Coturnix japonica: one gene and its partners. The protein of the gene in region 7 purifies or fractionates together with the protein of the main gene of each other region. This does not show direct contact. Links are inferred from orthologs where the notes say so. Each region holds a gene or a part of one and is shown on either strand. Other genes may lie near its edges. The genes, in order: SINHCAF, SAP30, ASH1L, ING2, PWWP2A, JARID2 and RBBP4.

Region 1 (3,500 bases), on a different chromosome or scaffold from region 7:
GGTAGGTGGTATGGGGGGAAAGCCCCAGCCTCCTTGGGGCTGTCCCATTGCGGGGCTGGTTCCTCTGCTGCTGTGTGTGACGTTGCTGGGTTATCAGCCTGTTGTGGCTGCTCGTGTGAGCTGCAGTAGATGACAGCATTGAAGGCTCTGGCCAATTCCTTCCCACCATGGTGTAGTGACTTAGTCATGAACCTTAGAGTTGTAAATCCCTGCACGAGGTGAAAGGCAGCACGGATCTGTGGAGGCTTTTGGTTATTCTGGAGCTTCGAGGACATTAGATAAAGCTTGTACCTTGTTTTGGCTATCGGTGCTGTTGTTCTGGTAAGGCTTATTGATACGTTATTAAAAGTTCACATTGGAGACTGTTCTGATGAAGAGCAAGAATTAATTCATCAGCTTTCTAATTAATCAAAGCTGTGCCTCATGTTGTTTGGAAGTATCAGTGACAAAAGCTAAATAGCAGTGCTTTCTTGTACCAGCTGCTGTGGCCTTCTAACTTTTTGGAACGTGGAGAGTTTTGTCTAAATATGCCTCAGTGCGCTGTCAGAGGCGAATTCTTCTGATTACCTCACTAAAATAAACAGCTTCTGCTCTTGTAGCTTTCCTCGAAATTATTTTCCCAGGAAAAATACATTGTTGTTATCTTCAGCTTTTGTCCTTCCAGCCTCACTGGACTCTCATCAAAATCTTAGGCCAAAGTTGAGCTTGCATCCACTGTTAAGAGCTGATAAAACACACACGGTGTTTGTCTCAAGCATTTAACTTCGTGTGTGAAAATCTTTGTAGTCTTTGTGAGTCTTTACCTCGTCTCTTTCCTTTTTCTTCCCTGCCCCCCTTTCTAGAAACACACGTTTCATGTATGGTTTTATAGTGCTTTGTATTGACCGTGGATTTTTGTTCATAAATCTGATGCTGACAGTTTTTGCCCTCGTAATTCTTGGCTGCTGTCCTTGGCAGTGGAAAGTCCGTGAAGGCCCATTGCTTTTTATATAAACAGCAGTAAAGAAGCTTGCAGAATACTGGGGCTTTTGGTCTCGCGCTATCTGAAATATGTTTGCCAAGGTGAAAAATGCAGTCTTAACTCTAAACAAATAAGGGCTTATCTGAGCCTGCCCCATTCATCTATACATGCTTCAAAGTCCTCCCATTTAAACAGCTGGAAAACCTGACTGTGCGTCCCCCTTTGGTGTGAATTCCTCTAGTGTGGATTAGCTGTAGAAATGGTTTCTGAAGGAAGCAAGTTTTGCTGCTTCAGAATCCAGTGCTGTGGATTCTGAAACTGTCCTGCAAGTGTGCAGCGATGTGTTGGATGGTGTTTGTTACTCATCCTTGAAGCACTGTGAGAAAGCTGAGAGCTGAAAACGCTTTTGTCAGATCTGAGTTTTGTTCCCTGCTTATGCCCAAGGAATAGGACTATTCACTCTTCCTCTCTGGTCAGATCAATCCAGTCACTGAAGCTGTGGTTTAAAAGAAAACAAGGCAGACAATGTATAAACAACAGAAGGTAACGAGGCTAGGGTTCTTTAGCCTCCTTTTGGTGGCAAATTACAGTGCCTTCTATTTCTACATGAAATAATGTTTTTCTGAAAGTGAGGCCTGGTCTTCGAATAGCACTGATGGAGCCCCCCAGATTAATCACCATGCCTGCAAATCATAACTTGAGAACCCTTCCCCTTGTGCTTCTGACACTGTTATTGCATGATTGTTTTGATTAATTGCTATAAAGTGATCTTTGCTTTTCACTTTTCCCAGGCTCCACGAGGCCCGCTCAGGAGACATTTGTAATGCCTGCGTCCTTTTGGTGAAAAGATGGAAAAAATTGCCAGCGGGATCCAAAAAAAACTGGAATCACGTTAGTTGATTTATCTTATTTCTTCCCTGCCCCCAAACTGACTCGTCTCCTACTTCAGTCCATCCTACATCAGAGGGGAGACACTGGAGAGAGTTTAGGGGTTGCTATTTTCCATGTGCTTTCCCTCCCTAACCCCGGTGTTTCTAAAGCTTGCCTGGAATATTTCTTGTCTTTGTTGGACTTATGTGTGAACTGTGATTTTGCAAGCCATGGATGGAGTCACAGACTAACCTACCTTGTAATTCCTTGTTTTCTCAATTCATAACTTTGTCCAGAAGTCTCTTATGACACTCAAAGCATTACAGATCTGGCCTCTGTCCAAGACTGGTCACTTTTATTTTTCTTAATAGCTTGAACAAGCAAGGTGACTTAGTCTGTGCAGCACACAAATCAATGTGGTTTCATCAGGTAATTAAAGACTAATATCGTGCAGCTACTGCTGTTCATATGTTCTGTTTTGATCTAATTAATTTGGGCCTAGGGCTGGTAAGAAGATCAGGCTGCCAAGGGAGGTGGTGCATTCAACTGTACCTGGAATTGTTCAGTAACCATATGGATGTGGTCAGTGGGCATGGTGGGGATGGGCTGGTGTTAGACTGGGTGATCTTAGAGGTCTTTTTCAACCATAATGATTCTTTGAGTACCTTCAGCTAAATCGGTGCAGACATCTTGACAAAGGCGTATCTGGGCATAATTCAGGATCACTGTGTGTGTATTTTTCTGTGTTGTAGGTGGTAGATGCCAGGGCTGGACCCAGTCTGAAAACAACACTGAAACCAAAGAAAATGAAAACTCTCTCTGGAAGCAGAATAAAGAGCAATCAAATCAGCAAGCTGCAAAAAGAATTCAAGCGACACAGTAAGTAGATTCAAACAGATTTTGATTATAAACTTTGGCTTCCCCTAAAATAACTTAGTGCTGAGTGGCCACACTGAGTCACCTCCTGGGTTCAGTTGTGCTCTCACACAGTTAGGTTTTCTCTGTTCATGTCAACTCTTATTGTGTCTGGGGAGGGGGTGGAATGAAAGGGGGACTTTGTGTGCAGTATGAATGTCTGCAGGGGGTTGGTTGTGTCAGGTGGAGAAGTGGCAAGGAGAGGTTAGAAGCAGGGTTGGAAGGAGTAGGCAATTGCAGCTTGTATCTCACACTTAAATGACACATCTCTTGGAAAAACTTCTTGGGCAAAGCCCTCACTGAAGTTGAAAGAGATGTCCCACTGTTCTCATTAACGTGCTATGATAGTTTTCAGCCCTCTCTTCTCAAGAAAGGCTGCTCTGCTGATACCACTATCAGTCTTTTTCTTCAATCTATGTTTTCAGTCTAGGCTTTCTATTTAGTCTACGTTCTGCCCTCCCCCCCAGTGTACACACACACTCTGTAAGTTCCTGCCACGTTCCTCTGTACAGTCTCCTTATACCTTCTGCCAGTCTCAGTGATTTCTTTCCACTAGCACTTGAGACTCTCAAGTAGATATGGATTCAAATCTTTCCCACAAAGCCATCTGTCAGTAACGCTCTAAATATATAACAGCAATCTAGGTTTTTTTCACTAAAGCAAACTTTTTAGCTTCCTAACTGTTGCTGTCTTGATGTTCTGTTTTCCATCACTCTACCTGACTTGAAGGAACTGCTCTCAGAAGAACCAGTGG
Region 2 (4,016 bases), on a different chromosome or scaffold from region 7:
TCTGAGACATAGTAGTCTCTACATTTTAACAGACCACAGCAAACATAACAGACTGTGTATTTTATGCTCAGCATAAGGTCAAAACCATCTGATGAAATGAAACGGATCACAAAAGACACAGTGTAAGCTGGTAGAAATTGCTACTTGTGACCCTGATTTCTGCTGGAAACTTCCTGGAACTCACACTTCTTCCTATATCTTCTTTAGGTAAGGTCTCCTACTGTTGTGTGGCTTTGTTTGTTATTATTAACATCATTATAATCTTTGAAAGGGTCGAATCACAAGGAACTTGAGCAGCGAGTTAAACGTCCCTTTTCTGAGCTGACACAGTGGCAGGGTGTGGAACTGAACCCAGCTGGGCTGTAACAAAGGAGGGTTCGGTATTTTTTCCAGCTCTTAACCCAATTTCTCCCTTTAATCACAAAACGTGCCCTCATGCATAACTGCTGTCTGTCACTGTACGCTCAGCCTAACTCCACTCGCTGGATCCTTCAGTCGCAACTGCTGGGAGCGTAAGCGGGACCTACCCTCGTTCTCTAATGCCAGGTTACGCAACCGGATTAAAAAGCCATCTGCAGCACAAACCCAAACTGCAGCATAATCGCACTCCCTGGCTCAGGCAGTTGTTGGGCTTACACGGGATCTGCGTCTCCTCAAATCGCTCGCTGACCTCCCGGTTACTCTCCTGATTCCACACTCGCACAGTAATGGATACGGCCGCATATTTCCGCGGTTACCTCACGGCGCTCGGGCCCGTTAGCGAATTTAAGGGCTCAAAAAGGAGCGCAAAGCCGCCTTTTTGCGCTCTGAACGCACTCGGACGAAAATAGGTCAGAGGCGGCCCCACAGCGGCTGAGCTATTACAGGCTGTGCGTTAACGCGGCTCTCGTGTAGCTTTCTTAGAGCTCGAAATATCTCAATACAGGCAGCGTTTGATCCGGACACAACGCGGAGCCTCAGAATCCACTTCCCGCCCCCGGTAGCGGCACGGCCGCATTTCAAATCCCAACGGCCGCGCCGACGGGGAGGAGCGAAGGCGGCGTCCTACCAGCCGGCCCGGGCCGACACCGCCACATGCCGGCGGGGGGCGGGCGGAGCCGCGGCACCGAGCTGCAACAAGCTGCGGTGTGTGCGGAGCGGAGCGCCCCGTCCGCCGCGCAGCTCGGGAGCCGTAGTTTCCCGGCCTCGCCGCCCGCAGCGCAGAGCGGCGGGACGAACTGCGTTTCCCGGAGCGCAACGCGGCTCGGCCTTGAGCAGGCGCAGTGCTGAGGGGCGGGGCGGCGGGCAGGTTGCTGTTGTTGCATAGGAAACAGCTGAAGAGTCTCCACATGACAGAGGGGGAAGGAGGAAGCGGGGCGGCCCGTGGGGCGCCGCCAGCGCGCCGGTAGCCGCGGGGCTCGGAGCGAGGGCGCCCGTCGCGCCGCGCGTGTTCCCTCGCGGTCCGGGCTGAGCGCGGCCGTAGAACCCTCCGGGCCCGAGTCCCCTCGCCGGGGGGAAGCGGTGGCGGCGCTCGCGGGGCTTCCCGCCGGCCCGACGCGGGGCATGAACGGTTTCGCCCCCGAGGAGCTGCCCCAACGCGGGGCCGACCCCGCCGTCGCCGCCGCGGGCGCGGTGAGCGGTGCGGGCTCCGGAGCGGAGGTGCCGGCGGGGTCGGCGCCCCCGGGGCTGGCCGTGGGAGCCGCGGGCGCGGCCGGGGCGGGCGGCCCCGGGGCCGGGCAGCTGTGCTGCCTGCGGGAGGAGGGAGAGCGCTGCGGCCGCGCCGCCGGCAACGCCAGCTTCAGCAAGAGGATCCAGAAGAGCATCTCGCAGAAGAAGGTGAAGATCGAGCTGGACAAGAGCGTAAGTCTTACGGCAGCGGGCAGCGGCTCGGGGGCGGCTTTTAAAGTTCTTTTTTGGCGTGTTTTCTTTTGTTTGCGGGTTGTTTTTTTTTTTTGTCTTTGCCGGCGGCGGGGAAGCGCCGTTTCCCAGTCCCTCCTTTCCCGCAGCGCTGCCGCCGCCCCGTCCCGCCTGGAGCCCGGCGCTGTCGGTGCCCCACCCGGCGGCCGTGGGCGCGGGGCTCCGTGTGGGGAGGGCTCGGCGCGGCCGCACGGTGCGGCCCTGTGCAGGAGAGCTGGGGAATGAGGGGAGCGGCCCGCGTGTCGCTTGACCTTGCGGAGGTAAAGCCGTGCGGATGGGGAGGAGGTGGCATTTTGCCTCCCGCGGGATGTTCCGGAGGCTGCCCGCCTTCCGTTCGTGCGTGTTTGTTTGCCGATCCCCGAGTTGCTGCGAGCGGTTGGAGGGAGGGTTGTGTGCGCGCTTGTCCCCGCTGCGCGACGTTCTCTGCCAGTCAACCGGTAGCCGCTTCCCCCCGTCCTCCCGCCGAGTCGGTGGAGGTAACATAACAATGCCTCCGTGCAGCGCTATCAGGCAGAGGGGCTTCCCCACCTCGCTCCGCGTGAGCGAGGCTGCCTAAGGAATGTCTCTGTAGATGCCTCTGTGCTGCCAGGCTGGGAGGAGCTTGCACGGGTTTGATTGAAAGATGCGGTCTTACTCTTGTAGGCGAGACACCTTTATATCTGCGACTTCCACAAAAACTTAATTCAGAGTGTGAGAAATAGAAGGAAGAGAAAAGGCAGTGATGACGATGGTGACTCACCAGTGCAAGACATCGACACTCCAGAGGTAGCCAACGGTTTTTCTAATAGTTACGTTAAGTCTGTTCCTGCTTCAGCCGTGCCTGCTTTTGGGGATGGCTCCTGATGTGCTTGGCTTTTAATATGACAAAAGCAAACTGGATTCCAGGGTGTATTTTCTCTATTAGATGTGCAGAATCTCAGGCAGCTGCTGTTTTGAACTTTCCTTACAGTTTTGGCTCCAGGAGCCTGCTAGAAGTTGTTTTGCTATGAAAATCAGTCTTTGTAAAGGTTGACAGGACACACCGGACTTGGGCTATAACTGCTTCTCTGTCACATCCCTCCAATCCTTTCCTTCCATGTGAAGCACGTTGCAGATGGTGCCTGTAGTTACCACTTAGTGTAGCTGGAAGTTTCTCAGTGAGGGAGCTCACTGGTTTTAGTCCTTCTTGGGGATAGAGATGCTGAGGCAGTTTTGCTGAGGAGGAGCTGAAATAAGAAGGCATTTCTGCTTGCCTTCCTTATTGTAGGCCAGTGAAACACCACCCGTTTTGGAAGTGAACTACTTTCAAACTTTTTTCATAGTATAATGTGAATGCACTTAAAGCTTTCTTCTTCCTACATGTGTGCTGGATTATTTCTGTTACAGTTTGTGTGTTAATCGTTGAGCACAGCCTACCCGGCCTCAACCAAGAGATTTATCCAGTGTTTGTCAGAAGGTGCTTGAGGATTGTGAACTTATCCTTAAGGTCAGCGTCAGCAATGTCAGTGATGAAACTTCATGCAGGAATCTCTGCCTGGAGGCACACGGCTCAAGCCTGAAGGCTTTGACTATAAGAGGATTTTAGGAGATTGGAAGTAGTTTGATGCTGGGCTGTGGTTTTTGTCAGCTAAAAACATTGGATGGCATCTCTGAAAGCTCTCTAAACCTGCTGTTCTTTGTGGCTTTTGGTAGCTGTCTGGCACAGTGGCAACTGCAGCTTTTGCCTGTTTATTTGCTCAGACAGGAATAATAAAGCATGACACAACTGATGGATATCCCTAGAACAGAAGAAAGGAAATGTATTTTCAGTGGTAGTGGTGCAGGGAAGTAGGTAGTTCTGGAGAGTTTCAGCATGCAGTTCCTGTGTGGTGTTGGTGTGCTATAGATGCCCACTGGCCCCTTGATTTTTGAACTGCCATCCAGTTTACTGCTGACCACCTGTAGGGCATTCCCATTTCCAGAAGTAGATGTTAGGAGTGATTTGCAGTGACTTCCACAGTGCTGCTGTCTTGAGTACGAGGGCATGCCATCCTCTTAACACGTAAGGCAGGGTTGTATCAAGTCTGACCGGGTCACCAGGAGTGCACTGGCACTGTTGTTGCCTTAAATATTGCATAGCTGAGGCTGCTGGATGACTTTAA
Region 3 (3,500 bases), on a different chromosome or scaffold from region 7:
TAGAAAGGTCAGAGCTTTTTAAAAACATTTCATACAGTGCACTATCCAACAGTAATTTGGAGCAGGCCAAATTCTTAAAAAACATAGGGTCGTCTTCATTCGTGGAGCACGAATTTGTTAAGCATCAGCTGCCAAAACTGAACGAGGGTAGTGGACAGTCTCTTGCACTGCTAACCGAGTCTGACAAGCAGACTCCAAAGTTCTACAGTGCACACAAACAACCTTCAAGTTTGTGTATGTCGGATGATTTCTTACCTGACATGTATAAACCTAAAAGAGGAAGACCTAAATCCAAGGAGATGCCCGAGCTTGAAGGTCCCCCCAAAAGAACTCTAAAGATCCCAGCGTCAAAAGTCTTTTCGGTGCAGTCAAAAGAAGAGCAAGAACCTCCCATTTTGCAGCCAGAGGTGGAAATTCCTTCCCTAAAGCAGAGTTTATCGGGACAAGCTTTTCCTAAAAAGAGGGGGAGGCCTAAAAGGCAGATGAGGTCATCGATCAAAATGAAGCCACCAATTCTTTCTGTAGCACCTTTTGTTGGAACAGAAAGCTCAAACAAGATAGAATCTGAAAGTGATCAGCATCGGAGCGGGGAGTTTTTTGAGAGAAAGGACCAGCTCCGAGGACCAGAAGATGTCCAAAAACCTAATATTTGTAGCATGAGTGATTTGGAAGGAGACTCAGACAGAAAAGTTGCCAAGAGAAACAACGGGCAGTTAATGAAAACTATTATTCGGAAAATAAATAAAATGAAAACTTTGAAGAGAAAGAAACTTTTGAATCAGATTCTCTCGAGTACGGTGGAACCAAATAAAGGGAAAGTGCAATCTAAGCTCCACAACACGGTGTCGACACTCGCCGCCACTTTCGGTTCAAAATTAGGCCAGCAAATTAACGTCAGCAAGAAAGGAACGATTTACATAGGAAAAAGGAGGGGAAGGAAACCCAAAGCTGTCCTGAACGGTATTTTAACTAGTAATTCTGCCAGTCTGACAGTTCTTGAGAAATCTTCCCAGCAAACTCCCGGCACATCATTTGGCCAAGTACTTCCCCACTTGCTGCCTTCAGCAGCTAATAGTTCCGAGATTCTCCCATCCCCTGTTTGCTCCCAGTCCTCTGCAGTCAGTGGGGGGCAGAGCCCCGTCAGCAGCGACGCGGGATTCATCGAGCCCAGCTCGGTGCCGTACTTGCACATCCACTCCAGGCAAGGAAGCGTTGTTCAGACACTCGCAATGAAGAAAGCTGCTAAGGGAAGGAGGAGATTATCTCCACCCACGTTGTTGCCAAACTCTCCTTCTCACTTGAGTGAGCTGACATCGCTGAAAGAAGCCACTCCTTCCCCCGTGAGCGAATCTCACAGCGATGAGACCATACCCAGCGACAGCGGGATAGGAACAGATAACAACAGCACTTCAGATCGAGCCGAGAAGTTTTGTGGGCAGAAAAAGAAGAGGCATTCGTTTGATCACGTTTCCCTTATCGCACCCGAAGCTTCCACGGTTTTAAGTAATCTCAAAGAAAAGCATAAACACAAATGCAAGCGCCGGAGTCACGATTACCTCAGTTATGACAAAATGAAGAGGCAGAAGCGGAAAAGGAAAAAGAAGTATCCTCAGCTTCGAGGTAGGCAGGACCCGGATTTCCTGGCTGAATTGGAAGAGTTAATCAGTCGATTAAGCGAGATTAGAATAACCCACAGAAGTCACCATTTTATCCCCCGAGATCTCCTGCCTACCATTTTCCGGATAAATTTCAATAGTTTCTATACTCACCCTACTTTTCCTTTAGATCCGTTGCACTACATTAGGAAACCTGATTTAAAGAAGAAGAGAGGCAGGCCTCCGAAAATGAGGGAGGCTATGGCAGAAATGCCTTTCATGCATAGCCTCAGCTTTCCTCTCTCCAGCACCGGGTTCTATCCCTCCTATGGCATGCCTTACTCTCCTTCCCCCCTCGCAGCTGCTCCCATAGGCTTAGGTTATTACGGAAGGTACCCTCCGACTCTTTATCCCCCACCACCTTCTCCTTCTTTCACCACCCCGCTGCCACCACCCTCCTACATGCATACAGGCCATTTGCTTCTCAATCCCACCAAATACCACAAGAAAAAGCATAAACTTTTACGGCAGGAGGCTTTCCTCACGACGAGTAGGACTCCGCTCTTGTCCATGAGCACGTACCCCAGCGTTCCACCCGAGATGGCTTATGGCTGGATGCTGGAACACAAGCACAGGCATCGCCACAAACACAGAGAGCATCGTACATCCGAGCAGCAGCAGGTTTCCATGGACACCATCACGGCTAATAGCTCTTCAAGAACAGTCCTGGAGTCCTTGAAGCGCTACAGATTTGGGAAAGAGGCTGTCGGTGAGAGGTACAAACATAAGGAGAAACACAGATGTCACATGTCTTGTCCCCACCTGTCGCCTTCAAAGGGATTGCTAAGCAGAGATGAACAGTGGGTCCGGAGGGAGCCTTCGGAGTCTAATTCCTTAGCACTGGGGTTGCAGACGCCGTTACAGATAGACTGCTCAGACAGCTCCCCAGGTCTGTCCCTGGGGGGATTTACTCCCAGCTCCGAGCCGGCCAGCAGCGATGAACACACAAATCTTTTCACAAGTGCAATAGGCAGCTGCAGAGTCACAAACTCTACCAGCACCAATGGACGTAAAAAACTAACTGACAGCCCCGGACTCTTCAGTGCACAGGACAGCTCGCTAAATCGACCGCTCCGAAAGGAACCATTGCCTTCTATTGAAAAGGCACTGCAGCCACTGTCAGGTAAGGGAGCTCTCATTGTATCACCACATGAGTCTTATGGTAAGCTCTAAAGCAGCTTGCATTGGGAAGGCAGGCAGCGATAGATTTGGCTTTGTGGAAGTTTTTTCTGTGTTGGATTTTAGGACTACCATTGTTTTGATGGAGGATTTCTGTTGTGTCAGTGCACTGTTCTGCTCAGCTTCTGGCACAGATTAATGGGAAGTCTCCTATGTACAGGGCTGCCTAAGTACCTTTTCCCACCAGATTTGCATTGCTTAGTTGTAGAAGCATACAAAGTTTTCTAGGGATGTTTTCTCATTCAAAAGTCTTTTCTTTTTCCTTACGATTTCTGATCATTTTAGAAACCATCTTTCTGCTTGTTTTGAAGTTTGATGGATTGATTTTAGGCTAGCTATGGGTACTAGTACTGTGAGCAACTTTTCCATTAAAGAAGATGTTCCGTATTTCTTTCATGACTCGATTTTAGGTGTTCTGATAATTTTTCCTGTAGTTTGGCTTTGATCCTTGAGGCCTTTTGCAGTACCTCCAAACAGCTGCAAAATGATCCTGGGAATGCCCAAGACCAAACATTGTAATGACTGTTTTATTCGTAGCTAGGAAGCTCATCTTACATATATCCCTAGATGCAACTGAGACTGAGCACAGGAAATGGCAGTGGCACCAGCAGAGGATTTGCTGTTCAAGGACCTCCATTCTGCTGTGCTAAGAAATGCTGAGCGTTT
Region 4 (4,023 bases), on a different chromosome or scaffold from region 7:
CGCAGCACCAACAGAACGGGGCTCACTCTCAGGCCATCCCGTTTTGTGGCTCAACTTTATCCGCGTCGGCTGCTCCGCCAAGAGTGAAAGGCTGCATCCAAAGCTGTGTGAGGCCAGCGTCAATGCAGGTACATGGTGTGCGCGGAGATGCTGCCCTTATTTTGACAAGTCTAACCCAAATCCTTACCGAGTCTATAACAAATGGCACATCCGTAGCTGGTAACTGTAGGCGCCTAATTACCCCATTTCAGCATACGGAATGGAATTCAATTTGCCGACATCTGTGACAATAGACCTGCGCTCCCTTGTAGTCAGTGGAGACATTTTTAGGGCAAGAATTGCAGTGAGTTACTCCCACCTTTATTTCCCTGCGTGGGAAGGAAAACATCCTCACACGTGACAGTGTTACGAATTCCTTAAGCCAGGCTTCCATCAGGTGACTGGTGTCATTTCAAACGCGTGAACTCAATTATCTCATGGCTTTATTCACTATCCTTCAAGATGTTTTTCATAGCACAGCAGTAATTAACTGTGGCACTAGGTGTTACATCAGCATAGAGTAACTCGGCGTGTTGAGAAATTCTTGAATGCGTCCTGGTAATTAACTCTTAACAGTCTTAATTAATAGCCTGCAGTCTGGATCTACCTGATAGGTGCAGCTGTGTCACGGGGCTATCAGGCTGCAGCACACAGTCTGTAATTAACGCTGTATCTTGCTTTACTCCTACGCTGCATGGCAGGAATCTGTTTCTCAGCTCTGTTTCCTCACAGAACCGCGACCATTCAGACTCATCGCTGCCCTTCACGTTCCGACCCTCCGCTAGCTCTGCCCACCCCCCTGTTTCCGTTCCTTTCCACGCTGCTGACTCGGGCCATTACTCCACACCTCGGCATAGCGCCGTGCCGGGACAGCCGGGCAGCACGAGCCGAGAGCCAAGGCTGAGAGCAGCCGGCTGACGAACGGATCCGCGCCTCCAACGCCCCCACAACCGCCGCCCGCCCACACGCGGCGCTGCCGGGGCACCTGGGGCGATCCTCCGCCTCACGGCCGTCCGTGCGCCCGCCGCCACGGCAGGTGCCCCCGGCAGGGAGCGGCCCCGCCACGCTCCCCGCGGAGTCGGCGCCCGGCCGTCAGCGGGGGGAGGAGCAGGGTGCGTGTGCCTTTAAGGGAGGCTCCGCCCCTGCGCTATATCCCGCCCCCCCGCCCTTCGGGCCAATAGGAGCGCGCGAGAGGGGAAGGCGGGAGAATGCGAACCCCTGGCGGCGCCTCTAGCCGCGCCTTATAAGGGCAGGGCCTCGCGCATGCGCGTAGCCAGGCGACCAGGGGCGGGGGCTCCAAGTGGGTTTCGCTGTGGCGGCGGCCGTTCCGCCGGGCGCTGAGCGGGACCCGAGGCGGGCGGCTCGGTCCGGGTGGGTCGGTCCGGCCCGGCGGTGCGCCGGTCCCGCGGCATTGAGCGGTCCGGCCGCTCGCGGGTAGAGGGGCGGCAGGCGGCAGGAGGCGGCAGAGCGGAGCGGGCCGGGCGGGGGCTGCCCCGTGAGCCGGTGCCGGCGGTGGATGTGCGGCTGGAGCGGCTGCAGCGGGGGGATGATGCTGGCGGGGCCGCAGCTGGTGGCGGGGCCGGCGGCGCCGGGCGGGGAGCGGGCCCGGCTGCTGTCGCTGTACGTGCAGGAATACCTGGAGTGCGTGGAGTCGCTGCCGCTGGACATCCAGCGCAACGTGTCGCTGCTGCGGGAGGTGGACACCCGCTGCCAAGGTGGGTCCGGGGCTCGGCCTCCTCCGCGGGGCAGCGGGAGGGAGGGACCGACCGGAGGGGAGGGGAGGGCGGCGCGGGGTGGGGGGGAGGCGGCCGCCCGCCGCACATGCGCTGGGCGCGGGGCTCCGGGCTGCGGCGTTAGGCCCCGGCCTCCCCGCTCAGCTTGAAATCCGGCGGGGGGTGGAAGGGGAAGCGCCGAGCAGGCAGGGCTGTCGCCTGTGAGCACGAGGTGTGCCCGGGGCTGCGGGGCCGTTACGAGCCCTGTGCTCCGCCCCGCCATGGGGGCCGTGCCCGCCGGGGGCACACGGGGCGGTCAGGATGGAGTGCTGGTGCCTGCAGGATTTGCACAGCTGCTCCGTGCTGACAGCGTTGGAACTCTCTTTTCTCAGCTCCACCAAACTCAAGCAGATGAACTGTAATGGACGCTTGGTCCTGGTCTGTTTTTCTTAGCCTCCTTTTTAAGCAGAGGTTTTAAAGCTGTCTAGCTGGACACGGGTACCTCCTCTAATTAATAAGGGGTTAATAAGGAAGTACTTCAGTGAACCTGTCGCTCTGTCACTACACATTTTCTAGTCTTTCTAGTTGTTCAGACTACAGAGTGCCTTACTCGGCACTTCTCAGAGCAAATATTTTATCCTGTCAAGGCAACAGATGCAGCTGAAAGCTGTAGGAAAGCGAAACCTGTGTTTTCAGTGACAGCTGGAGTACTGGCACTGTGAGTTATTAGATGGGCAGAGCACTGACTTCATCTTCCTCTGGTGAAGGTCTGCAGTAGAACAAAGTGCTGCTGGTTACTGTTTCCATACAGATTTCAGTATTTATAGTAAAAAGTGACCGTTCCCTCTTAAGGTGCTGTTTCAGGATGTCAGCAGGAAAAGAAATCACTGTGAGCAACGCTGAGATAATAACCGTGGCTTCCATTTAGCGCGAGCTTGAATCATTCTAAAACTGCACAAAGCGTTTAATTTAAAAATGAAAGGCAGCCTATAAACAGAGCTGTGCAGGATGAGAGATTGTTCCGTGTCCATTCTGGTTGTGGAATCAGTTGAGTATCGTTCATAAATTCGCTTACCCGTTACAGACCTGTAAGTTAGTTGTGAAGGGATCGGTGCTGTATCGAGCACCCCGTCACATCTCGCTGTCAGCTCCACTGATTTAGTTCCTTCTGCTTCAGCAGTTCCTCTGTCTTTCTTGTGTAGATGTAGTGTCGCTTTCCGTCTGGAAAATAGTATTTTAAAATCCATCAAAAGGGAAAATGTGGAGGACAAGTTCTGCCTCAATGTAACACACAACTGGATGTAACTTCTTGGTACAACCAGCACCACTTGGAGTGGTTTAAGTTGTCTTAGATCCTGATTGTACATCTGTTAATATGTAGCTTCCACTGTGGTACTTTGTTGTAACTAAGGGCTGTTGAAAAGGTAGTGCTAAACCCTCGTGTATAGAAAGGAGGAGGCAGAGGACCTGCATATCCTAATTTTGGATTGTAATGTGATGGTTACACGATTATAGTGAATTCTGAGATTCTTCCTATGGTATGAGAAGCTTTGGTTTGTAGGCCAGGGCTTTGTAACTACTCTAATATGGAACCTCAGCAAAAAAATCCTGCTTTGTCAGATGCTGAGTCAGAATTTGGACCATTCTGGCTTTGGCAGCAGCGTTCACCTTTCTGGGCTTACCCTTCCCTTTATCCAGTGCTCAAAAGCATCTTGCTTTTTCTTAGAACTTGAGAAGCTTTTTATGCAGTGGATTACCACCTTAAACACTGACTTGATGCTCAGGTGTAACTTGAATTAAATACCTGATGTAGCCCACTGGGGTATACTGTAATTAAAACTTGTACTGTTTCACGTCCGTTTGAACGTGCTCAACAAAATACAGATATGTACCTTCTATCTCGTGTAATTATTCGTACTGTGTTTGTTTTGTAGAAGCTTTAAAAGAAATAGACGATGTCTATGAAAAATACAAGTCTGAGAACGATCCCGTTCAGAAGAAACGCCTGCAGCAGCATCTCCAGCGTGCTTTAATCAACAGTCAAGAACTGGGAGATGAAAAAATTCAGATAGTTACTCAGATGCTGGAACTGGTAGAGAACAGAGCCCGACAGATGGAAACTCACTCTCAGTGTTTTCAAGACCTGTCTGAGAACGACAAGCCTCTAGAAAAGGCAAAGATGGAGTCCTGCCAGCCGGAGAGATCTTCACGTAGACCCCGTCGGCAGCGGACCAGTGAAAGCCGCGACCTGTGCCACATAGCAAACGGGATC
Region 5 (3,500 bases), on a different chromosome or scaffold from region 7:
AACATATTGCAGGAGGTATCGGTTACCTGTTGAACAACATGCTACTTCTCTTAGCGTAGGGAAGTTAAACTAACGTATAAGGCTTGGTGGAGTTTCATGTGTGTCAAACAGGGCATCAGAGATCTTAGAACACCTAGTGCTGCCTGCAGAAAAGTAGGCAATGTTTTAAAACAGTTTGTTTGCAGAACAGAGGGGAATCATTTGTACTGTATTGAAATTGTAAGGATGGCTTTGCCAGAAGGAACCCAAACTCAAAGTTCTAGGCTGTAATGCATCAGATGGCCAAGCAGCAATCTTCTGTGGATGTCAAAGTGAAGAATGACAGTGCTGTTAGATGCCAGTATTTACACGTTGTATATTTGGCTGAAATCTAACATAAGTTCAGGCTTTTCTGCTATGCCATAAACTGAAGAATTCTGTAAAAGTTACCCAAAATGCTTTCCTTGCTCATATAAATGGAATTGGTGTGGAAATCTATCTTGTGTACATTTGGAATTGATGGGGGTAACTCGCTGAGTTTGAACTTTGTGTTTATAAGAGTTTTCTAGAAGCATCAATGCTGTCCTAGGCAGTATTTTTGTGTATATTTTTGAGGGTTGTTGTTGACACAATAGAAACACCCATAACTGAAGTTAGTGTATTTTGTGTTGTATGCTGACTTGGTTTTGGTATTTTACTTTTTCAAAGCTTAGCCTAAGACTTGGCTTAATGTTTAAGTTTTGTCCAGAACTCGTGTTATTTGAATGGTAGTTATGTGGATGACTTTTAAAATGCTTCTTTAATAAATACAGCAAGAGATCCCTCAAAACATTTAATGTTTTTTTTGTTGTTGTTGTTCTCTTGAAGGTTTGGACCCCATGGAATCCCTGTGACCATATTTCCTAAAAGGGAATATAAGGATAAACCTGAAGCCATGCAGCTCCAAAGTAAACCATTCCAAGATGAGGCACAGGTGAAGTGTGAATCTAATGCTGCAGTCCCTGATGACTCTTCTCTCACGCAGCCATCAGAACCAAGCTTAGCTAAAAGCCTATGGACTTCTAAACCACCTCCTCTCTTCCATGAGGGAGCGCCATATCCTCCTCCTTTGTTTATCAGGGACACATATAACCAGTCAATACCTCAGCCTCCGCCCCGGAAAATTAAGCGGCCCAAGCGTAAAATGTACAGGGAGGAGCCCACTTCTATTATGAATGCTATCAAACTACGACCCCGCCAGGTCTTATGTGACAAGTGCAAAAACAGTGTTGTTGCAGAAAAAAAGGAAATAAAAAAAGGTGGCAATGCAAGTGACTCTTCAAAATATGAGGATAATAAAAAACGAAGAAACGAGAGCGTGACTACTGTGAATAAAAAACTTAAGACTGACCATAAGGTGGATGGAAAAAGCCAAAACGAAAGCCAGAAAAGGAATGCTGTGGTCAAGGTTTCAAATATTGCCCATGGCAGAAGCAGAGTAGTTAAAGTTACTGCACAAGCAAATACTTCAAAAGCGCAGTTAAATACAAAAAAAGTTCTCCAGAGCAAAAACATGGATCATGCAAAAGCTCGGGAAGTCTTGAAAATGGCCAAAGAAAAGGCACAAAAGAAGCAGAGTGCAACCTCCTCTTCCAAAAATGCACATTCAAAGGTCCATTTCACACGGCGTCTTCAGAACACCAGCTCAGGTTCCCTCCCGCCCCGATTGCGTTTAAAGCCACAAAGATATCGGAATGAAGAAAATGACTCTTCTCTCAAGACAGGACTTGAGAAAATACGGAGTGGCAAGATGGCAACTAAGCCGCAGTCTCGCTGCTCCTCCACCCGCTCAGCAGGTGAGGCCCCTTCAGAAAATCAGAGCCCCTCAAAAGGCCCTGAAGAGGCCAGCAGTGAGGTTCAGGACACAAGTGAAGTGCATGTAACTGTTGATCAGGATGAACACCAGACATTGGGCAAGAGAGGCAGCAAAAGCAATATAACGGTTTACATGACCCTTAATCAAAAGAAATCTGACTCTTCCAGTGCATCAGTTTGTAGTAGTGATAGCACAGATGATTTGAAATCTACCAACTCTGAGTGTAGCTCTACTGAAAGCTTTGATTTTCCTCCAGGCAGCATGCATGCACCTTCCTCCTCCTCCTCCTCTTCGAAGGAAGAGAAAAAGCTCAGTAATTCCTTGAAAATGAAAGTCTTTTCCAAAAAAGTCTCTAAATGTGTTACACCAGATGGCAGGACCATATGTGTAGGGGACATTGTTTGGGCCAAAATTTATGGCTTCCCTTGGTGGCCAGCCCGTATCCTGACCATAACTGTGAGCCGAAAAGATAACGGTCTTTTAGTTCGCCAGGAGGCTTGTATATCATGGTTTGGGTCCCCAACAACGTCTATTCTCGCTCTTTCACAACTATCCCCCTTTTTAGAGAACTTCCAGTCGCGCTTTAATAAGAAGAGAAAGGGTCTTTACCGCAAGGCCGTCACAGAGGCAGCTAAGGCTGCAAAACAGCTGACTCCCGAAGTTCGGGCCTTGCTGACACAGTTTGAAACGTGAACATGGAGAGTAAGGTAGGCGAGAAATCTGGAGGCTCCACGAAATTCATAGCCTAGTTAGAGGACTACCATGAAGGACTTGCCGAGGCAGAAGTTGCAGTCGGTTGGATGCTCTTTTTATACTAAAGTTGTTCCATTTGTAGCGGTTTCATGGAAGTTAAACAAATTGAACATGCAATCAAAATTAGCCTAAAGTGAGAACTTCAGTATTTTTCCAAGTGAGAATTTTTTTTAAAGAAAAAAAACAACTCCTCAAACACCCAACGCATAGGAGCCATAGCCTCAGCTGAAAGGCAGCTTATTTGCAGGGAATTTTTTAGTAGTTTCTACCCAGTATGTACCTAGTTGCTGTGTGGCAAAGGGTTGACACAAGGGGTGAAAGTAGTAGCTGTGATATTTTATTTTTTTCTTTTCTTAGGTGGCCCATCAGGGAAGTGTAGAAACGTAAGCCTTGTCTAAATGGTCTTTAAACATGATTTCAAATACTCTCTGATGTATTTAGTCTGGCCTGTGCCAATTGGCTCAATGCACGCGTGAACGTCTTAGAGGCGTGCCCCATTCCACGAAGGCCAGTTTAAATGGCATTAGGAGACGTGCTGAAGTTTTTAAGGAAGAAAAATTCACAAAATTAAAGACCAGATTAAATGGGGTTTTATCTTAGTGACCACTTCTTAAACACTCAGCCTTTCTATGCACATAGGGGCACAAATATTAACACTTCAGGGTCTGAGAAGCTGAGAGTGATGCCTGTAGCTCTAAGACAAAGCTGAGCAGTTGCTCAGTGTTTGGGATCAAGGGCTGTTAATGCTGCATAGGTGTGAATCATAACTTCTGGTCTTTCTTCCTGAAGAAGTCTTTCAGGCCATTTGCCTGGAGTTTTAGATTAAGAGAGGCTTTGTTTTGAATGTGTAAATAATTGATTGATGAGATTTGGTCAGATTTTCTCCTGACTGGTTGTTCCTAAATTCTTAGGA
Region 6 (3,500 bases), on a different chromosome or scaffold from region 7:
GGTCATGTATCCGGCTGCTGTAGTTTTCAAACACAGAATGCTGTGTTGGATGAAGCAGTGCACGTGGCTTTCTGTGAACGCTCAGCTGGTCTTTGAAAGGGTTGGTTTGACCGTACTGTTTTGAGAGGTGAAATGTCATTTTAAGGTGATGAAACTTCTCTAAGGTTTGAGAAATCTAATAAGAAAATGTCACATGCTTCCCGAAGATATTTTCTTCATTTGTGATTAGAAGTTTAAGCATGTAAGGAAAAGAGTTAGGCCAGGGGAGATGGGGACACCTAGTTTTATTTTCACTTTTAATTTTATTTTCTATTTCCACAGGGTAGGTCCGTTTCTTTAACAACCTTCTACCGAACAGCAAGAAACATCATGAACATGTGCTTCACAAAGGAGCCTACAGTAGCTGAAGTAGAGGTGAGACCAGCACAAGGGGTAGTAAATGTTTTGTGTTGTGGAGGTGGAGCATAGAGGTTCATCTTTATTGATGTTTAGAAACTACCATTAGTGGTTTAATGTGGGGGATGTCTGATGTGGGGAAAAAAAATAATTCATTATGTGTAGGTGTGATAGTGATTCTTCCCTTCGGTTTTTTAAACGTTTTTCATAAAGGTATTGAACTGCGAGAAAGACTTTTTAGTGTACTTTGCAATGAAGCACAGGAGCAAGTGGGGCTAATTCCTGTCTTCACAATCCACCAGTGCTTTTTAGTATTTGCAATCATGGAATCATTAAGGTTGGAAAAGAACTCCAAGATCATCTAGTCCAGCTGTCAATCCATCCTCACCATGCCCACTAAACCACATCCCTCAGTGCCACATCTACACATTTCTTGAACATCTCCAGGGATGGTGATTCCTCCACTTCTCTGGGCAGCTCGTTCCAATGCTTGTCTCCTTCTGAGACAAATTTTTTCCTAATATCCAACATGAACCTGTCCTGGCACAACTTGAGGCCATTACCTCTTGTCCTTATTTCTAAACGGTGTTTTATGTTGAGTTACACTGAGGTGATTTCTGGGACTTAAATTTTAATGGGAAGTACCTTGTTCAAAACCCATCACCACTTTCTCTCCCAACAGCAAGAATATTGGCGGTTAGTGGAACAGAAAGATAGCCATGTAGCAGTGCATTGTGGAAAAGTAGATACCAACACCCATGGGAGCGGCTTTCCTGTGGGGAAATCTGAACCATTTTCTAGGTAAGGTCACCGAATCTGTGCCGCCTGCCCCATTTGCGTAACCAGGTGTGGGAACTTGCTGCCAGTGGGGCAGCACAGCGCTGGCTTGACAGCAGGGGCATGGTGCTGACATATGTTTCCCTCTGGGTCCCTTTTAACAGGCATGGGTGGAACCTCACAGTCCTTCCTAATAATACAGGATCCATCCTGCGACATCTTGGTGCTGTGCCTGGTAAGTAGGATTCTTTTTCTGTGTTTGTCATGTGTGCCCTCTAAATGTGGTAGTGTAGTCATCAAAGCCTTCTCTCGCTCTGTCTAGTCCTTTTGTTGAGTAGCTGCCTAGGTAGAGATGCAGTTGTAAGTAGCAGCTCATACCTGTGGGATGGAAATCAGGTTTTAGATATAGACTTAATGAATGGTTAAGACCATGCACCTGGGAGGAGCTGGTTGTGCTTGCAGCATCACTGTCTGTTGTTGTCAGTACATCAGTGTTCTTGTTTTGTGTCAGGGTGATGAAAGACATACAGCTTTCTTGGTGCAAACCTGGACAAATGTTGGGTAAAGCTGCACACAGGTTTTTTTTTTGTAAATGAATTGTTGCAAGTGTCACAAGCTCCAGCCGCATCTGTGTCATTAGAAACATTAGCTGAAAGCAAAATCCAGTCACCTGGATTTTGTGCCTGGACCGTGCCAGTTAGGAAAGAGGATTTATGTTAACGTGTATATATGCACTGACACTGAGAGGCAGTCTTCTGTGATCAATAGCATTGAGCTTGGGTTATGAATATTTGTAAATAAACCAAAGGATAAAATTTTTTGCAGCTCTTAGAAAATAAATATGTTCATCTGCTAGATATTTCAGTAGTGGGAAATGCTGGTGTCATTAAATAAATTATTCTTTGTGAATTATTCACTCTGATAGGCAGACTGCAAAAAGCTCACAGGTAGAAGAATTGCAACTGAAATGCCCTCAAACTGTCTTTTAATTAGAAATTGCGATTACTCAAAACTCATTTTCAATCTCTGTTTCAGGAGTGACAATTCCTTGGCTAAATATTGGCATGGTCTTTTCTACCTCATGCTGGTCTCGAGACCAAAATCACCTTCCATACATTGACTACTTACACACTGGTGCTGATTGCATTTGGTAGGTATTACCGTGTTTGTTTTCATGCTCACTGCAGTGGCTCTCTGTAGGCTGGTGTTAACAGCAGTTTTTCTAGTACCTTTTGTGTGAATGAATTAACATTCAACTAAACTTCTACCTAGAAGTTTAGTCTTCACAATGGCAGGTCTAATGAAAAACATAGTATAAACTAAGCATTAAAAACCTTCTTTCTGGGAAGAAAAGTTTTGGTTTATCTTCTGTGATCTGTTCTGAGATACTTAGCAATGAACTGTTTCTGCTTGAGATAGGGTAGGAAGTTTTCATGAGATGGAAACCAGCACAACAGCTGGTCAGGGCAGGCTTCCCTTAGGCTGACAGAGAGATACTTGTCCAAGCTTGCTCCGTATTATCATTGGGAAAGTGACTGAATTCATACTCTGACTAAATAGCCACCATTTTCTTATTTTACATATCAACTCTGTATCTACCAGATTCCTAATATTTTCTATTGTGATTTTTTTCTTTCTTTATCATATGATAATCATTTTTAATTATGATTCCACACATCGTTCTAGTGCCTAGATGCTGGCCATTAGTACTCAGGTGTTAGCTACGTTTCATATGTTGGAGACACTTAAAACAAATGGACTTAGCACTGAGCTTACAAATGGTTATGAACATGGTGATCCTTTCCGAATTCAATGCGTATGTGCTGCTACAGATGATGATGAATTAAATTACAATGGAAGTACAACAGCTGATGGAGGAATTAGTGGAAGCAGGTGCTGCCGGCATGTCACGTGCCTTTCTGTGACATTCCGATGATAATGGTGTTATTACCCAAGAGGATCATCAGTGAGAACAGTGAACGATAAGCAGTATAACTGTTTCTTGACCTCAGAAAATCAATTAAATGGAGAACAAAAGTTACTGAAATGCTGACTCCCACCGAAGGTGAGAAGCTGATTGCCTTTCAACAGTTTCAGCAGTTCTCGAGAACCCCGAACAATGGGAGCCTTCGGCTCATTGAGCAATGTGACAGGAGAAGGTCTGGAAGGCCTGAAGTGTATGTGCTGCCCTGCTGCCACACTGCTTGCAGAGTCAGCAAAGGCCTTTGCATCCAGGAGTCCCCATGGAGTGGCAATGTCAGCCATTCTTTGTTCATGCGCTAAGTGTGTACTTGTTCACCTTTAATGCCTGTGCTTCTCAGCTGGTG
Region 7 (4,006 bases):
CAACATGACACACCAACTCCTACTCCAAATTCAATACAAACATTTACCTTATCAGCTGATCCTGTAGCCAGGATAAACTCACTGTAGGGATTGAAAGAAAGGCAGTTGACTTCAGCTGTGTGAGCATCCACGGAATGGCTGGGTTTGGAGGTGTTGTTTGACCGCGTATCCCATCTGTAAGCAGAAGGAACAGACCTGGAATGAAGGCTTACACCCCACCTTACGGGCAGACCAGGGAGCAGCTGGGAAGGCAAAATGGACTGAGATGTTCAGCCTCTAAAGAAAGCACCCCGCTTACATCATGAGCTTCTGATCATCAGCAACAGATCCAAAAAGAGATTCGTGCAGCAGGTGCCAGGAGACATCTTCCACTACAGCTGTATGCCCTGTGAAGATGGTCTTTGCATCCACCACTTTACCTTCTTTTGGAACAGCACTTATATCCCACAAGCAAATGGTCTTTAAAAAAAAAAAGGGAAAACCAAAACGAATAAAAATTGTATCTTTAGACAGGAATTCTCTGCACTCCCCCACCTCCATCCCCTCAAACACAGAAACATTCCTGACCTTTGTCAAGGGACACAAAGTGCAGATCGCACCCCAGCTACACTTAAAAGCACTCACGTGATCATCAGAAGCACTAAGCAAATGCCCACTCAGGTTTGGGTTCCACGACAGCCCGTAGCCTTCTTTCTGGTGTCCACGAAGACGCAGATCAGGGTTACACTCTCCAGAAGGGTCTGTAAAAAGGCAGTGTAAGAACTCCGATGCTTAGAATCACTATCAGCACATCAAGGATTAAAGTTACACGCTATGCAACCCACAAAACTTTTCAGCCTCTTTTGCACCCCATCAACCTTAAGAAAAGGCTGTTGTGGTTATTTTTGTAGCTCTGAAGCATGAAGGTGACAAAGCTCCAACCACCTGGTTTAGAAGGATGTTTGGTGTAATCGAAGACGAGGACATCGCTGGATGGAGTCTTTGTAGCAATGATGCATGGGTTCTGTGGCATGTAACGAGCTCTGTTCACTTCTCCCTCATGGTTTATCTTGATTTCAATTTCAATTTTTCCGCTAACAGACCCAAAGCCTCCAAACTCTGTGGGAGAAAAAATAAAGAACATAAGTAAGCATTGTCTTGCTTACAAATAACTCTAAGAAGCCCAAAGATCACAATACAGATTGCATAATCCAGGCTTCTGGCAAGAAGAAAAGCTAATATTAGATTGTTAAGAACTTTTAGCATGCAGAAAAATGGATTCAACCATTAAGAAGTGGAGGAAAAACAGAGTTTAAGCCCCACCTGATTGACATCTTTGCTCCCTTACCTCCTTTCTCACTATCGTAGTGTGAGGCATCAAACTGTGCATCATCATTAGGCAGCTGCACACTCGCTATCACGAGATGATTTTGTTCATCTGAAGTGTGAGTCCCCAGGACCAACCGGTGAATGCTGAAATCCTTGCCCTCAGGCCTGTGAGAGAAGAAACTCAGGTGAGAAACACATGGAGTTTACACAAACATTGAGCTGAATATGGTATGTACTGCTAACAGCTTCCGACACCTGTAACATCCTTAGAAACTACCATTGCTCTCCTGCTCTGACACTGTATTTCTTCCTCCAGAAGAATCTCTCCTCCCAACTCAAGATCTCAAATCACAATTCTTGGAGCATAACAGCACCTACCCCCAGATACCTCCAGCAGTTCCCCTGCCTTCCTTTAAGAGACTCTAACAGCCTCCCCAGCGCACAGTTGGAGATGCATATACACTCTTTGGAAGCAGAATGTTGTGGAAGATTAGGATGAAAGAGTGCTTAAAGTGAAACTATATTTAGTTCTCTGTGGGGAGGAGGGCTTTGCATTTCAAAAAGGAGAACGAAGCTGGAAGAAGAAAAGCATCAAAATCAAAGACGTGAAGCATTTTCTTGGTGATAAGCAGCACTTTCCCCACATTAAAGGTGTCTCTGGGGTTTGCAGACGAGACAAGGAGTCACACGGAGCCTTACTTCTGCAAGGAGTACATCCAGAACGCACCCTCACCTCGTCACATCGGGGAGCCACTGCGCAGTCAGGCTGGGCCACTCCAGAGCGTGGGTCATTACCAAGTCATATAAGAAGGGTGTGTTCTTCTTCCATATCTTATACTCCTCGTTGATCACACGTTCTTCCACTGCGTCATCAAAGGCTGCTGAAGGGTTCATGAAAGCAATGCGGGATGTTAGCGTTTATCAGGACAGGCACAACACACACAGAGATGGGTGGGCACTCAATAACGGGGCACTCAATAATGGAGCACTCAATAACGGGGCCCTCACTCAATAACGGGCCCCACCACACGCAGCTGTTTATCACCCAACGTTGCTGCGGGACACGCCGCCCCCCCCGCCCGCAGCCCCTCGCAGTGTCAACGTAGCGACCCGTTGTAACCCGTTGTAACAGGCCGGTCCCTGCTGTTTCCCCCAGCGCCCCGCAGGCCGCACGGGACGCCCCCCGCCCCAGGGCACGGCCCAGCGCCCCCTGCCGGAGCCCCCCCGCCATCACTGCGCACGGCGCCGGCCGATGGAGGCGGGGGGGGCGGGCAGTGAGGCCTGAGGCCTCTCGGAGCCGAGTGAAGGCCGCAGCGCCCAGGCCGCGCCGCCGGGCCTTACCTTCCTTGTCCGCCATTGTGGGCGGCGGGATGAGGCTGCGCTGCGCGAGGCGGGCGCTGCTGGCTCCGCTCCGGACGCGGCTCTATTGTTTCCTGCCCCCGCTCCCTGCCGCTCCCGCGCCGCGCACCCCTTCGCGCGCCAACACTGACCAATCCCCGCCCGCCGCCGGGAGGCTTCCGCCAATCGGAGAGAGGCAAGGGGCGGGAACGAGGGGCAGGAGAGCGCGCTCGGCGGTCACGTGTGAGGGCGGCCATTTCCGCGGAGCCATTTCCGGACGGAGCGGGTGGGCGGCTCTTAAAGGGACAGTGCCCCGGTGAGTGCGGTCTGCGCGGGGGGGGGGGGGGTCTGCAGGATGGCACCGTGAGCCGGCCCCGAGCTGCCCCTGAGCTCTGTCCTACCGGTTACCGGTCGCTTAATGGGTCTCTGTGACCCGCCCCGTTCCCGGTTTGTGGCTCCGTTCACACTCAGCCCTGTGCTCTTTCGGCCTTATTCCCTCCCAGGAGCGTTTCCCAGCTCGCAGGTCTCGGTGCTGATCTGCGAACAGAACCCGGAGATCCCGTGTGGGATCGTCCCATGGCCGGCAGTGAGAGCTGCTCCTATGGGAAAAGCCACGGTGGACTCACGTGGGATGTCGGGAAATAATTACCCTGAAGTTAATGGGGCGCTGCAGCCGGTCTGATGTGTTTGCGAGGGAGAGTCGGTGTGGAACCGACTGGTGGGATCCACTGGGTGGGATTGAAGTGCTCCATAACGATGTGCTGTGCCCCATAATAATGTGCTGTGCCCCATAATAATGTGCTGTGCCCCATAACGACATGCTGTGCCCCATCACAACGTGCTGTGCCCCATAACGTGCTGTGCCCCATAAGGTGCTGTGCCCCATAACAATGTGCTGTGCCCCATCATGTGCCATGACACACAGCAGGCTGTGTACCCTGTGCAGTGAAGCTCCAAAGCCAAAGTTACCCGTGTAACTTACTGTAGAGCTGGTAGAATTATGTCCTCGTAGATGCAGTATTTTATTGCTGGAGGGTGATTCACACGGAAGGATCAGGGTTCCTCCCTGCAGAGGCTGAAGGGCACACTGTTGGTGCATGCTCTCGGTGCACACTGTTGGTGCATTGCACACTGTCAGTGCACACTGTTGGTGCATGCTCTCAGTGCACACTGTTGGTGCATTGCACACTGTCAGTGCTCGCTGTCGGTGCGGTGCTGGGTGTCACTGCTGTGTGCCGGCAGTGTGAGCAGCACAGCACTGAACTCTGTGCTTCTAATCTTGTTTTCATGCACAGCCTGTGTGCAGCTGCTCCCCATCGGCTGCTGCTGAGAGCCCCAGCTGGAAGCAGCTCTCCTGTCC

What was found.
Region 1: the proteins of RBBP4 (region 7) and SINHCAF purify together in Homo sapiens (affinity purification with mass spectrometry; 3 studies listed by BioGRID and IntAct, counting the BioPlex papers as one, with this or other methods). This does not show direct contact. The link is inferred for Coturnix japonica from reciprocal best matches to the Homo sapiens genes RBBP4 and SINHCAF.
Region 2: the proteins of RBBP4 (region 7) and SAP30 purify together in Homo sapiens (affinity purification with mass spectrometry; 11 studies listed by BioGRID and IntAct, with this or other methods). This does not show direct contact. The link is inferred for Coturnix japonica from reciprocal best matches to the Homo sapiens genes RBBP4 and SAP30.
Region 3: the proteins of RBBP4 (region 7) and ASH1L purify together in Homo sapiens (affinity purification with mass spectrometry; 3 studies listed by BioGRID and IntAct, with this or other methods). This does not show direct contact. The link is inferred for Coturnix japonica from reciprocal best matches to the Homo sapiens genes RBBP4 and ASH1L.
Region 4: the proteins of RBBP4 (region 7) and ING2 purify together in Homo sapiens (affinity purification with mass spectrometry; 3 studies listed by BioGRID and IntAct, with this or other methods). This does not show direct contact. The link is inferred for Coturnix japonica from reciprocal best matches to the Homo sapiens genes RBBP4 and ING2.
Region 5: the proteins of RBBP4 (region 7) and PWWP2A purify together in Homo sapiens (affinity purification with mass spectrometry; 4 studies listed by BioGRID and IntAct, with this or other methods). This does not show direct contact. The link is inferred for Coturnix japonica from reciprocal best matches to the Homo sapiens genes RBBP4 and PWWP2A.
Region 6: the proteins of RBBP4 (region 7) and JARID2 purify together in Homo sapiens (affinity purification with mass spectrometry; 3 studies listed by BioGRID and IntAct, with this or other methods). This does not show direct contact. The link is inferred for Coturnix japonica from reciprocal best matches to the Homo sapiens genes RBBP4 and JARID2.

What each region holds. Positions count from the first base shown.
Region 1 is NC_029516.1:52,973,298-52,976,797, reverse strand, and holds part of SINHCAF (SIN3-HDAC complex-associated factor), read left to right. Parts: intron 1-1,752; coding exon 1,753-1,852; intron 1,853-2,583; coding exon 2,584-2,710; intron 2,711-3,500. UniProt on the Homo sapiens protein: Subunit of the Sin3 deacetylase complex (Sin3/HDAC), this subunit is important for the repression of genes encoding components of the TGF-beta signaling pathway.
Region 2 is NC_029519.1:38,529,552-38,533,567, forward strand, and holds the start of SAP30 (histone deacetylase complex subunit SAP30), read left to right. Parts: upstream 1-1,216; 5' UTR 1,217-1,542; coding exon 1,543-1,839; intron 1,840-2,538; coding exon 2,539-2,661; intron 2,662-4,016. UniProt on the Homo sapiens protein: Involved in the functional recruitment of the Sin3-histone deacetylase complex (HDAC) to a specific subset of N-CoR corepressor complexes. Capable of transcription repression by N-CoR.
Region 3 is NC_029540.1:1,741,180-1,744,679, reverse strand, and holds part of ASH1L (histone-lysine N-methyltransferase ASH1L), read left to right. Parts: coding exon 1-2,778; intron 2,779-3,500. UniProt on the Homo sapiens protein: Histone methyltransferase specifically trimethylating 'Lys-36' of histone H3 forming H3K36me3. Also monomethylates 'Lys-9' of histone H3 (H3K9me1) in vitro. The physiological significance of the H3K9me1 activity is unclear.
Region 4 is NC_029519.1:35,244,523-35,248,545, reverse strand, and holds the start of ING2 (inhibitor of growth protein 2), read left to right. Parts: upstream 1-1,223; 5' UTR 1,224-1,555; coding exon 1,556-1,754; intron 1,755-3,685; coding exon 3,686-4,023. UniProt on the Homo sapiens protein: Seems to be involved in p53/TP53 activation and p53/TP53-dependent apoptotic pathways, probably by enhancing acetylation of p53/TP53. Component of a mSin3A-like corepressor complex, which is probably involved in deacetylation of nucleosomal histones.
Region 5 is NC_029528.1:9,981,750-9,985,249, forward strand, and holds part of PWWP2A (PWWP domain-containing protein 2A), read left to right. Parts: intron 1-846; coding exon 847-2,527; 3' UTR 2,528-2,541; exon of another isoform or gene 2,542-3,500. UniProt on the Homo sapiens protein: Chromatin-binding protein that acts as an adapter between distinct nucleosome components (H3K36me3 or H2A.Z) and chromatin-modifying complexes, contributing to the regulation of the levels of histone acetylation at actively transcribed genes.
Region 6 is NC_029517.1:67,726,291-67,729,790, reverse strand, and holds part of JARID2 (protein Jumonji), read left to right. Parts: intron 1-321; coding exon 322-414; intron 415-1,078; coding exon 1,079-1,197; intron 1,198-1,337; coding exon 1,338-1,408; intron 1,409-2,208; coding exon 2,209-2,323; intron 2,324-3,500.
Region 7 is NC_029538.1:4,587,389-4,591,394, reverse strand, and holds the start of RBBP4 (histone-binding protein RBBP4), read right to left. Parts: upstream 2,801-4,006; 5' UTR 2,666-2,800; coding exon 2,650-2,665; intron 2,190-2,649; coding exon 2,042-2,189; intron 1,474-2,041; coding exon 1,328-1,473; intron 1,099-1,327; coding exon 925-1,098; intron 741-924; coding exon 625-740; intron 460-624; coding exon 299-459; intron 175-298; coding exon 48-174; intron 1-47. UniProt on the Homo sapiens protein: Core histone-binding subunit that may target chromatin assembly factors, chromatin remodeling factors and histone deacetylases to their histone substrates in a manner that is regulated by nucleosomal DNA.